Linked DNA regions of Lonchura striata. The protein of the gene in region 3 purifies or fractionates together with the protein of the main gene of each other region. This does not show direct contact. Links are inferred from orthologs where the notes say so. Each region holds a gene or a part of one and is shown on either strand. Other genes may lie near its edges.

Region 1 (3,600 bases), on a different chromosome or scaffold from region 3:
ACCCTGGAGCTCTCCCTGACCCCGGGACTGTCCCTGGGGCTCTCCCTGACCCCGGGACTCTCCCTGACCCTGGAGCTCTCCCTGACCCCGGGCTATCCAGAGTGACACTTCAGGGACACAGGCCAGCCCTGCCTCCCAGCTCATAAACAGCACGGAATGCAAAGTGCAGGCAGTCGAGCTGGGAAGGCTCACAGGGCTGGGAAGCAGCTGCTCACTAGTACATTGTGCTTCTCTCTGCACATACAGATCTTTTATTTTGGGATATGTTCAACTTTTATTGTTCAACATAGGTGGCAATCAAAATAATCTCAAGGACTTCTGCTGCCAAAGTTCAGTTATTCATTTATTGAAATTATTTTGGGCTCCAGAGCCCGGGGAGTGTTTAGTGCAGCCTTTTTTCAGTCCCATTTGTAGGTGCTGCTGTTAAGCAACTGCGGCTGTGTGGCAAGGGCTGTCATGGGTTTGCTCCTAGCAGTATATTTAACACGGTCACATGGGCTTTGTTTTCCTAAGGGAGCGAATAACAACTCCCTCCTGGGCAGGGACAGCTCACTGCAGGGCCTGGAGCTGCTCCCTCCCTATAGAATCCTGGAATGCTTTGGGTTGGAAGGGACCCCAAATCCACCCAGTGCCCCCTGCCATGGCAGGGACACCTCCCACTGTCCCAGCTGCTCCAGCCGCAGTGTCCAGCCTGGCCCTGGGCACTGCCAGGGATCCAGGGGCAGCCACAGCTGCTCTGGGAATTCCATCCTGTGCCAGGGCTGCCCACCCTGCCAGGGAACAATTCCCAATTCCCAATCTCCCATCCAGCCCTGCCCCTGGCAGTGGGAACCATTCCCTGTGTCCTGTCCCTCCAGCCCCCCAGAAATGTGCTCAGGGAACAGAAAACACCCAAGTTACACAAAAGCCAGAGGAACCCCACTATGGAACAGATGGGACCCAGCCCCAGCAGTGCACAGGGAACAGAGCAGCAGGACAGGAGCAGGAGGGCAGTGGGAATTCCCTGGATTCTGGGCAAGGATGTCTAAGGAATCAGCAGGGAAAGAGAGACAGTACAGTGGTGCTCAGGGAACAAAGGCACAGCAGGAACAGCTGGAGCTGCAGGTCCCTCCCCAGCTATCCAGCAGCACAGGGGTTTAGCGGGAAGCAGGAACATCCCACCAGCAAAGACATCCCAGATATCCTGTCTGGAAACTCCAAAATCCAAAGGCAACAGCACAAGGCCGAACTGCCTCATGTGCAGGAACAACCTGAGTATCTCCATCCTAAATACAGAGACCACCATCTGGACAGCCAAAGCACCACAAAACCTGCTGCATAAAAACATTCCAGGCCACCGAGTTTGGAAGAGACGCTGTTCTCCAAAACGCCTTTTCCTTTACAGCTGTTTGTTGTTGTTTGGGACTTTTCCCCTCCACGTGACAGTGCCTGGTATGTGGCAGGGAATCAGGGAATACGTTCAGCGCCAGGCAAACCCTTCCCTACCCTTCCCCGAAATTTATGGAAGCTCAGGTTGTTACCAAAGAACCATCACAACCAGAGCTCAAATTAAGGCTTTATCTGCCGAAATCGTACTGGGTACAGCGCTGGGAATGCAGGATAAAGCACGGAGAGGACTGGGATTGCTGCAGCAAGAGGACAGAAGATGGGGTTTACAATTTTCCCTTTTTTCCTTCTCCTGTTGGACACTCCTCAGAGGAAGGCTGTGCCGGAGCAGGAACAGGCTGTGATACGGCCATTTGAAGATAAAAGCAGCCGTGTTTTTATGGAAACAAACAGAGCGAAGGCCAGGAGAGGCGATGCATCCCGGGATGGACTCGGGACAGAGGAGTCTGTCACGATATCCCGGCCTAGGACACACATGCGAGCACAGACAGCGCTGGAAAGCTTCATTCCCTTAGGACACAGCTTGCAGCGCTGGGAAGGGAGCAGCAGAACGCCCGGAACGATGGGAACGGCCCTGAGAGCGCCAGCCCCGCACTCTGGCTGCGCTGGGCTTCTCCCTTCCCGGCGAGTCCGCGTTATCCCACACCTGATCCCCCGGGACACGGCGCGATGGACCCGCACGTCTGCCAACGCAACCGGCCAATATCGCGACACAGCGGTGCCCGCGGTGCCCGGGCGGTGCCCGCGGTGCCCGGGCGGTGCCCGCGGTGCCCGCGGTGCCCGGGCGGTGCCCGCGGTGCCCGGGCGGTGCCCGCGGTGCCCGCGGTGCCCGCGGCGCCGCCGCCCCGGCCTTACCCTGCAGGTTCTCCTCCTGAGGGCTCTGTCGCGACATGGCGGGCGGGCTGCCGGGCACGCACTGACCGCGCGCCGCCCGCGCCGCCGCTCACCGCCCCGCTGACGTCAGCGCCGCGCCGCCCGCCCATTGGCCAGCGCCGCGGGCGGGGCGGAGGCGGGGCGGGGCGGAGGCGTGGGGGGCGCGCGCTCCCTCAGCGCCCTCACCGCGGCCGCCATGATGGCGGGGAGGGAGCGGGCGCGGCGGGGAGACGGGAGAGCGGGGACGGCTCCCGCGGGATCCCTGCGAAACACCGCTCATAACCCCGCAGGATCCCTGCAAAGCATCCCTCATAGCTCCCGCAGGATCCCTGCGAAACATCCCTCATAGCCTCGCAGGATCCCTGCGAAACATCCCTCATAGCTCCCGCAGGATCCCTGCGAAACATCCCTTATAGCCTCGCAGGATCCCTGCGAAACACCCGTCATAGACTCTCAGGATCCCTGCGAAACATCCCTCATAGCCTCGCAGGATCCCTGCAAAGCATCCCTCACAGCCCGCGCAGGATCCCTGCAAAGCATCCCTCACAGCCCCCGCAGGATCCCTGCGAAACATCCCTCATAGCCTCGCAGGATCCCTGCGAAACACCCGTCATAGACTCTCAGGATCCCTGCGAAATATCCCTCATAGCCTCGCAGGATCCCTGCAAAGCATCCCTCATAGCTCCCGCAGGATCCCTGCGAAACATCCCTCATAGCCCCCCTAGGATAATCGTCATGATCCCCGCAGGATCCCCGCAGGACATCCCTCATAACCCCGCAGGATCCCTGCAGGACGCCCCTCACAGCCCCCGCAGGGCATCCCTCATAATCCCGCAGGACGCCCCTCACAGCCCCGCAGGATCCCCGCAGGATCCCCTCTCCTCCCGCTCCCTGAGCGCTCCGCACGTCCCGCCCGCCGCGGGGCTCCCGCACGGCGCTTCAGAGTAACACGGGGAACGCGGACACGGGGGGATTGCGAAGGATACACGGAGGGGCTTTCAAAGCATTCACAGAGGGATTTCACAGCAGACACGGAGGGGCTTTCAAAGGATTCACAGAGAGATTTCACAGCAGACACGGAGGGGCTTTCAAAGGATTCACAGAGGGATTTCACAGCAGACACGGAGGGGCTTTCAAAGGATTCACAGAGGGATTTCACAGCAGACACTGAAGGGCTTTCAAAGCAGACACGTCCACCTGTAAAATCACAGCTTGCGGCCGCTAAGCCAGCCCTGACAGTGAATGATACATGGCCTTAAAATAGGTAATAATCACAGCGTGGTTGGGTCGGAAGGGACCCGCAAGCATCATCGAGTCTGACTCTTAGCCCTGCACAGAACA
Region 2 (3,819 bases), on a different chromosome or scaffold from region 3:
CACAGTAGGAAGAAATCCCAAATTCTACTGTGAGTGAAGAGTTCATGGGAGCTGAGCAGTTGACATGAGGAGCAGCACGTTCCCAGCTGACCTCACCTGGAATGACTCAAAATACATTCAAGGAAGAATAATCTGCCATCAAGCCCCAGCACGCCACCCCCTCCCACGGGCACTCACAACTGCTTTGGGACAGGGAGCAGGGAACACCACCGGCTTCAAAGGCTCATGAGAGGGACATAAATCTCTGTTTCTTAAAAGAAATGGACAGGAATGCCCCAATAACAGAGAATGGGGTTTGCCCCAAGCTTTTTTGTACATTAATCACCTGCTTGAGAATTTTTAATTTCACCGTATTTCTACTTGATGCTAAAATAGGAAATGTGGCAGAATGGAGTGGTAGAATTAAGAGCAATAGAATTAAGAAATGTGGCAGCATCTCCTCCCTTCACAAATCATGTAACACACACTCTTTGGAGGAAAAAAAAAACAAACTGTTCACATTGATGGTATTTTTCTCCAAAATTGAATGTTGGCTTTGCTCTATGGCTAATTATTCCACTATTAATTTATATACATTGACTTTAATTCTACATTTTTCCATAATTTGGTGGACTGTTTAAATAGCAGGAGTTAAACATGTTGGGGAAGACTGGTCTCATTTTATTTATTCCCCCTGATTTCAGCTTGGTGCATGAAGTGGAAATATCAAAGGTAATATATAAATTAAATACCTGTATACATTTTATAGACATAAAAATTCTCCAAGCTACTACCAACTCAGTAGCTTACAAGTAGTTTGAGACATGATCAACCTGAATAAAGGAATAAATATCATGTCTACAATGAAGTACAACTTTAACCAAAAAGGGAAAAAAAAAAAAGGAAAGAAAAAGAAAGGCAACCAGACTCCCACAATGCTAATTATTAAGCGGATTTTCCATGACAGCGCTAGACGGGCTCTTGCCTAAGGTGGGATTTCTTTTAGTCAATATGTAACAGAGCTTTATAATAATTAAAATAGAGGAAGCATCTAGAATTCCCAAAGCAAGCAACTTGTGTTTTTTATCTCTATGAACCCAACAAAGCACAGGTTACCAGTTTTATTCTCAGCTCTTCTGCCCTCCAAGTGCTAAGGGATCTTTGAATAAAAGGCCCTAAACACACACAAATGAAACACAGAACACCATGAATAGGTGTCTCAGCTTATTGGCCTGAAAGGTTCACTGAAAAGCTGAGAGAATGGCAGAAATGCACCTCTCCCAGCAAAGCATTGTGCAAGGGCTGAACATCTGAAAGCAGCACTGCTAACTGGGTGCATTTGTTTTGTTGCTAGAGCACAGAGTGTCAAACATTTCCTCTCCTACCTTGTGCTCAGCTCCTCCAGCAATCACTGAGCTGGGTGAGCCTCTACCTGCTGCCCCAGCAGCAAGATCTCCACGGGCAGATCCATCCCTGGCTTACAGAGCTCTCAGCTCTTGTTGCTCCTATAATCCAGCAGACTAATGAGTCCCACAGAATTGCCACATCACCAGAAATTAAAAATGTAAAATATACAGGCATCAAATATGGTCATTTCTGAAGTAAGCATTGACTCAGGCACCTGGCACGTCGCAACTTGGACAGCCTAATAGTTATTTAAGTATAACAGGCCTGAATAATTTGCCAAGATTATTGACTCAGGTGACATTGTTTAAGGTGCCACGGTTATCACACGATGCAGTGTTACCACAACACAATAGCAGCATTATGAAATGGGCACAGTTTATTCTTTCTTTCATACGATTTCTATTGAGTTATGGAAAAGAAACCAACGAGTTTATTTTGCGGTCAGCTAAACTGCATCGTAAACCGCGGAGGTTACAGTTAATCATTAATGCAATTTATTCACCTTTTTTATCCTTAAAATTTAGACATGAAAAGACACAGCGAAGGAGCTGTTAAGGAAGGGAAAGCACTTGCCAAGTACCAGAGCCTACATGATGTGCCTTACTAGTGTTACCCCAGGAACAAAATGCAGCTGATGCAGCTGACAGAGATGCCGGATATAGAGGGAAATTAGCTCACGTCAGTGCTATTGACTCAGCCGCTGAATAAACTCATTCCCACAGCCACGCTCCTCCCCCTACCCCGTTGTATCCCCATCGTCGCCGCTCGGGTAAACTCCGCGTAACCACGCAACGAGCCCGGGCCGCTCCTCGGGGGATCGCCCTCAGCCCCCGGCGAGAGGAGACGGGGCGGGTCCCGCCGGGGGCAGCGCTCCCACCGCGCCCGGAGTATCCACGGCGGATCCCCTCGGCTCTCCCGGCCGCGCTCCCGCTGCCCGGGGCCGAGGGGCTGCCGGGTTGCTCGGCGCTGCTCGGCGCTGCTCGGCGCTGCACGCCGGCCCGGTGCCGGCCCGGTGCCGGCCCGGTGCCGGCCCGGTGCCGGCCCGGTGCCGGCCCGGTGCCGGCCCGGTGCCGGCCCGGTGCCGGCCCGGTGCCGGCCCGGTGCCGGCCCGGTGCCGGCCCGGTGCCGGCCCGCCCCTCACGACCCCCGCCGCTGCTCCTCTGCCCCCCGCGGCCGCCGCCGGGCCATTTATACCCGCTCGGCCCCGGCCATTGGCCCCCGGCGGCTCGCGCGGCGCGCCGTACGCCAATGGCGGCCCGAGCGGGTCGCGGCCCTCACGTCCCCTCCAGGGCCCCCCGCGGCCCCGCACTCACTGTTGAGGCCGGGCTCGCCGTGCGTCCCGTCCGCCGGCGGGTTGTTGTTGTTGTTGTGCTGCGGCTGCTCCTGAGGGCTGGACATGGCGGCGGCGCGGCTAAAGGAGGACTGAGGAGCCGCTGGGGCAAAAAAAAAACAAACAAACAAACAAAAAACAACAAACCCGGACTCCGTTCCGGGCCCGGCCGCCCCGCCCCGCCCCGCCGGGCTGCGCAGGCGCGGCGCGCGCCGCTCCCGCCCTCCGCCTCCATGGCGCGGGCCGGGGGCGCGCACGTCCCGCGCGTGCGCAGCGCGGGCGCTGAGGGGGCGGCGGCGGTGAGGGGAAAGCTCTGCCGGGCCCCAGCCCGAAACCAACGCGGATCGTGCCCTTATTAATTGTGAAAAGTGCGTGATTTGTGATTGGCTTTTGGCAAATGATACAATGAATGTTATATGCGTGATGTTAGAAAGTTAGGCTGTGCTGATTCTCTTAAGTAGTGTGTTAAATACAGTTTTAGGTTACAACATAGAAACTCTGCGATGGGGGATTTGTTACAAGCTCAAGGAGGGAGATGAGATAATCAAGAAAGTCTTCGCACAGAGATGGCAGCGAAGGGGCACATAAAAAGTTACGGCCTCCTCATCAGAAAAGACAAACATTCTTCCACCTTCTCTCCGTCTTTTTGGAACCAGCAAGATTAAGGAGAAGAAGTTGACAAAACCCAGAAAAGTTCTTAATTTGCAAGGAATTTATATATTCATGAGATATATGAATATGCAACAGGCTGTTGCTTTTAAGGTTATTCCTTTGTTCACAAGGGATGCTTTTCGTGACTCAGTGTCTGAGAGCATCCGTGAAGCGAACAGGGTTTATTAATGCCTTTATTCATGTTCAGCTCTTTATTAAAAAGATCAGCTCGGCCCCGCTGTTGTGGCTTTTTGCAGGTAGCCGAAGGGGAGAAGGTGGCCGGGTCTGTCCCTGGAGTCTCCGTGGCACACTGGAGGTGCAGAGGTGTGCAGTTCCCTCTCCTTCCCTCCTGGAAACACCAGGAAAAGCTGCCTCGCTGTTCCTGCTTCCCACAGCCCTGTCCAGTCTGTCTACAGGTGGAGGGGCTGCAGAAACATTTGAGATTGAAATCA
Region 3 (3,819 bases):
GCAACTCCTCAATACCCATAATGTTATCCCATACAAGCAGAAACAGGACTATTCACCAACCAGACTGCTGAGAAAAGGTGGGAAGTACACAGAAAAATACTTGAGATTTCAAAGGGCTGTGAAATGAAGATGTCTGAGAAAACGTAACAGATACTAGATTTAGGAAAAAAAAAAAAATGGTACATTTTATCCCTGAGCCATCCCTGGAAAAGCACATGATAGGGAAGAGTTTGTACTATTTCAAGAGAAGCAAATGTTGTACATGCTAGTCATGCATACACAAGATTTGATTTTTAAAGCCATAAGTAATAATTCTGTATAATAATGAAGTAATAATTCCTGTTTACACCAGCTTTGCTAATCTCACATTTGGGAGCAGTGAGCAGTTTTCCTTCATTTGACTATAGAAGAAACAGCAACATTGACAAATTACAAAGAATGTATAAATGACAAAAGCAAGGGCTTGTATGATCTCTGAAGATAGATTAATGCAATTTAATATGTGTCGCTTAGATAAGAGACAGTAAATGGGAAATCTCTTAATTATCTTTGTACACTAATGCACAGAGGGAATACTGGATCCTTACATTAGTCTAAAACAGAGTACTTTTACCACAGGTTAGCATCTCTTGCTGTTAATTACCTAGATTGTACCAACATCTAGACTCAACTTGTTGAAACTAGAAGCTATTATTAATTAAAAATTAATAAGCTATTACAGTATACTTTAAACTCAGGCCCCATTTGCTGTGTTTCTTCCCATAATATATTCTGGCACTAAAGCCATTTCACACACACTTCTAACTAATAATTTTACTGTTTGAAAAAAATTGGAATATATGGCAGTTTTATCTTGTGTTGCCTTCACAAGTACCAAAATATGCAAAACCCAAGAACTTCAGATCATTTCACTGACTGCATTCCTGCTAGGACCAGACTCATCATGCGGTTTAGCACTGAGATACAATGGAGACAAAAGTTCTTTGGTACCTATTCCACATTCAAAGTGGCCACCCTGTCTCTTATGGAGATGGCTTCCCCAGGTAACAGAAACTGCTCCTCAACATGAGTAAATTATCAGACAGCCCTTTCTATTAACAGCCTAAAGTTACCAGCATTCTACCACTTCATTCTGACCAACTACCCTTCCACCTGTGGTGAAACTCTTCTCTTAATGTAATTTTTTAAAAAATTAAAAATTTCCCACAGTACTTTTTAAAAGGAATTTGTGGTATTTGCCTTATTTGTCTTTTCACTTGTCTCTTGAGATATCACACTGCTCCTCCATGCAGGTATACTCTGTATAGCGTTTACTTGCTGGTCAGCTGCTTCCTCACTGCACGGCTGTAGTTGGTATCTGCCACTGTCACAGAATTACTGAATCAATTGGGTTGGAAAAGGCCTCTGAGATCACCAAGTTCAACTTATGACCTAAAAGCACCATGTCACCTAGACCACGGCACTAAGTGCCATGTTTACTTAAACACCTCCAAGGACAGTAACTCCACCACCTCCCTGGGCAACCCATTCCAGTGTCTAGTCACCCCTCCTGTGAAGAAATTCTTCCTCATGGCAAACCTAAATCTCTCCTTTCACAGCTTAAGACTGTGTTCCCTTGTCCTTATCATGTCCATTCACATCCAATCGATGTCCATTTTTCAGCCTGCACTGGTAGCAAATAACAATCCACAAGAAGCGAAGCACCCTAAAGTACACACCTAAAAAATAAAATAGTATCGCAACTTCGGCGCCTACTTTCTGTAGTGCTGTGATCGGGCAACTGGGTGAAACCGTGTACGTGCGGAACACCGCAGTGACCGAGCAGCGGCGGAGGACCCGCAGGGGAGAGGAGCACAACCCGTGCCCAGCCCTGCCCGCTTTGTCTGGTCCCAGCACTGTTCCTCCCCTCCTCCCTGCTCCATCCCACCCCTACCCCTTCCCACTCCTTCGGCAACCGCGCTCTCCACCGGCAGGGGCAGTTCCTTTCCCCGGGGAGCAGTTCCCCTCTCCAGGACGCAGCTCCCTTCCCCGGGGAGCAGTTCCCATCCCCGGGGAGCAGTTCCCTTCCCCGGAGAGCAATTTCCTTCCCCGGGGAGCAGCTCCCTTCCCCGGGGGGCAGTTCCCATCCCCGGGGAGCAGTTCCCTTCCCCGGGGGGCAGTTCCCTTCCCCGGGGGGCAGTTCCCTTCCCCGGGGGGCAGTTCCCATCCCCGGGGGGCAGTTCCTTTCCACGGGGGGCAGTTCCCATCCCCGGGGGGCAATTCCCATCCCCGGGGGGCAGTTCCCTTCCCCGGGGAACAGTTCCCTTCCCCGGGGGGCAGCTCCTTTCCCCGGGGAGCAGTTCCTTTCCCCGGGGGGCAGTTCCCTTCCCCGGGGGGCAGCTCCTTTCCCCGGGGAGCAGTTCCTTTCCCCGGGGAGCAGTTCCCTTCCCCGGGGGGCAGTTCCTTTCCCCGGGGGGCAGTTCCTTTCCCCGGGGGGCAGTTCCCTTCCCCGGGACGCAGCTCCCGCCGAGGCCTAGGCACAGCGGCGGGCAGACGCGAGCGGGGCAGCCCGGTGCCGCCGCTGCCTTCCGCGTCCCCTCCCCGACCGCGGCACCGGCCCTGCCAGGCCCGGCCCGGCCCGGCCCGGCCAGCGTGCCCTGGGTGGGCGGACGGGGAGCGCACGCCCGCGGCCGCCCGCTCCCGCCGCGCAGGGCCGGCCCCGCACCGGGGCTGCTGCAGGCCCGGCCCCGCGGCCCCCCCGCGCCCCCCGGCAGCGCCGCCGCCGCCACCCTACCCCGTCCGGAGGGCGGAGCCGCCCGGGCCGCCGGAGCCGCCGCCGCGCCGGGCGCCGCCGGAAGCGCCGCGCGGAGGGCGGCGGGGGCGGGAACGGGGGACGCGGCGGGGGCGGGGCCGCCGGCTGCGCCTGCCCGAGCCCCGGCGCGGGGCGGGCCCGCGGGGTCCCGCGGGTTCGCGGTGGGGTAGGAGAGTGCTGGGGTTCCGAGGGTTAGGAATCAAGCCCCAGCCCTACTGCCGTGGGTACGGACCCCCAGCAGTAGGCCAAAGCTCCATCCAGCCTGGCATTGAACAATTCAGGGATGGGGCATCCACAGCTTCTCTGGGCAACCTGTTCCAGTGTCTCACTGTCCTCACAGTTAAGAATTTCTTCCTGATGTCTAACATAAATTCTGCCTCTTTCGGTTTGTACCCATTACTCCGTGTCATGTCACAACAAGGACAGATGCAGAGTCACTCCAGCTTCCCTGTCGGCCCCTTCAGATACGGGAAGGTTGCCATGAGGTCTCCATGAAACCATCTGTTCTCCAGGCTGAACAGCCCCAATTTGCTCAGCATTGTTAGGGGGCATGCTCTAGTCTGGACTTGCTTCAAAACCTTCAGTCCTCCTTACGCTGGGCACACCATAACTATACACAGTACTACAGGTGGGATCTCAGCAGAGCAGAGGGGGGAAATCACCTCCCTAACCCTGCTGGCCACACTGCTTTTGATGCAGCCCAGGACTCCACTGATTTTTCTGGACTGTAAGTGCACACTGCTGGCTCGTGTTGAGTTTTTTCATCAGCCATCGCACCTAAGTCTTTCTCCACAGTGTGGCTCTCAAATCACTTCTCCGCCCAACATGTAGGTGTGCCCAGGATTGCCACAATCTGGGTGCAGGACCTCACACTTTGCTGTGTAGAACTTCATGAGGTTCACACCAGCCCACCTCTCAAGTGTGTCAGGGTCCCTCTGGAGGGCATTCCTTCCCTCCAAGGTATTGAATTTTCGCAGTGTTGTGGTTTGTGACTCAGGCCCACTCTGCTTTTTGTCCTGTTACCTCTG

Evidence for each region.
Region 1: the proteins of FBXL4 (region 3) and BNIP3 purify together in Homo sapiens (affinity purification with western blotting; 4 studies listed by BioGRID, with this or other methods). This does not show direct contact. The link is inferred for Lonchura striata from reciprocal best matches to the Homo sapiens genes FBXL4 and BNIP3.
Region 2: the proteins of FBXL4 (region 3) and BNIP3L purify together in Homo sapiens (affinity purification with western blotting; 4 studies listed by BioGRID, with this or other methods). This does not show direct contact. The link is inferred for Lonchura striata from reciprocal best matches to the Homo sapiens genes FBXL4 and BNIP3L.

What each region holds. Positions count from the first base shown.
Region 1 is NC_134609.1:32,004,275-32,007,874, forward strand, and holds the start of BNIP3 (BCL2/adenovirus E1B 19 kDa protein-interacting protein 3), read right to left. Parts: upstream 2,353-3,600; 5' UTR 2,279-2,352; coding exon 2,242-2,278; intron 1-2,241. UniProt on the Homo sapiens protein: Apoptosis-inducing protein that can overcome BCL2 suppression. May play a role in repartitioning calcium between the two major intracellular calcium stores in association with BCL2.
Region 2 is NC_134634.1:2,421,071-2,424,889, forward strand, and holds the start of BNIP3L (BCL2/adenovirus E1B 19 kDa protein-interacting protein 3-like), read right to left. Parts: upstream 2,927-3,819; 5' UTR 2,785-2,926; coding exon 2,700-2,784; intron 1-2,699.
Region 3 is NC_134605.1:74,122,059-74,125,877, reverse strand, and holds the start of FBXL4 (F-box/LRR-repeat protein 4), read right to left. Parts: upstream 2,851-3,819; 5' UTR 2,774-2,850; intron 2,105-2,773; exon of another isoform or gene 1,240-2,104; intron 1-1,239. UniProt on the Homo sapiens protein: Substrate-recognition component of the mitochondria-localized SCF-FBXL4 ubiquitin E3 ligase complex that plays a role in the restriction of mitophagy by controlling the degradation of BNIP3 and NIX mitophagy receptors.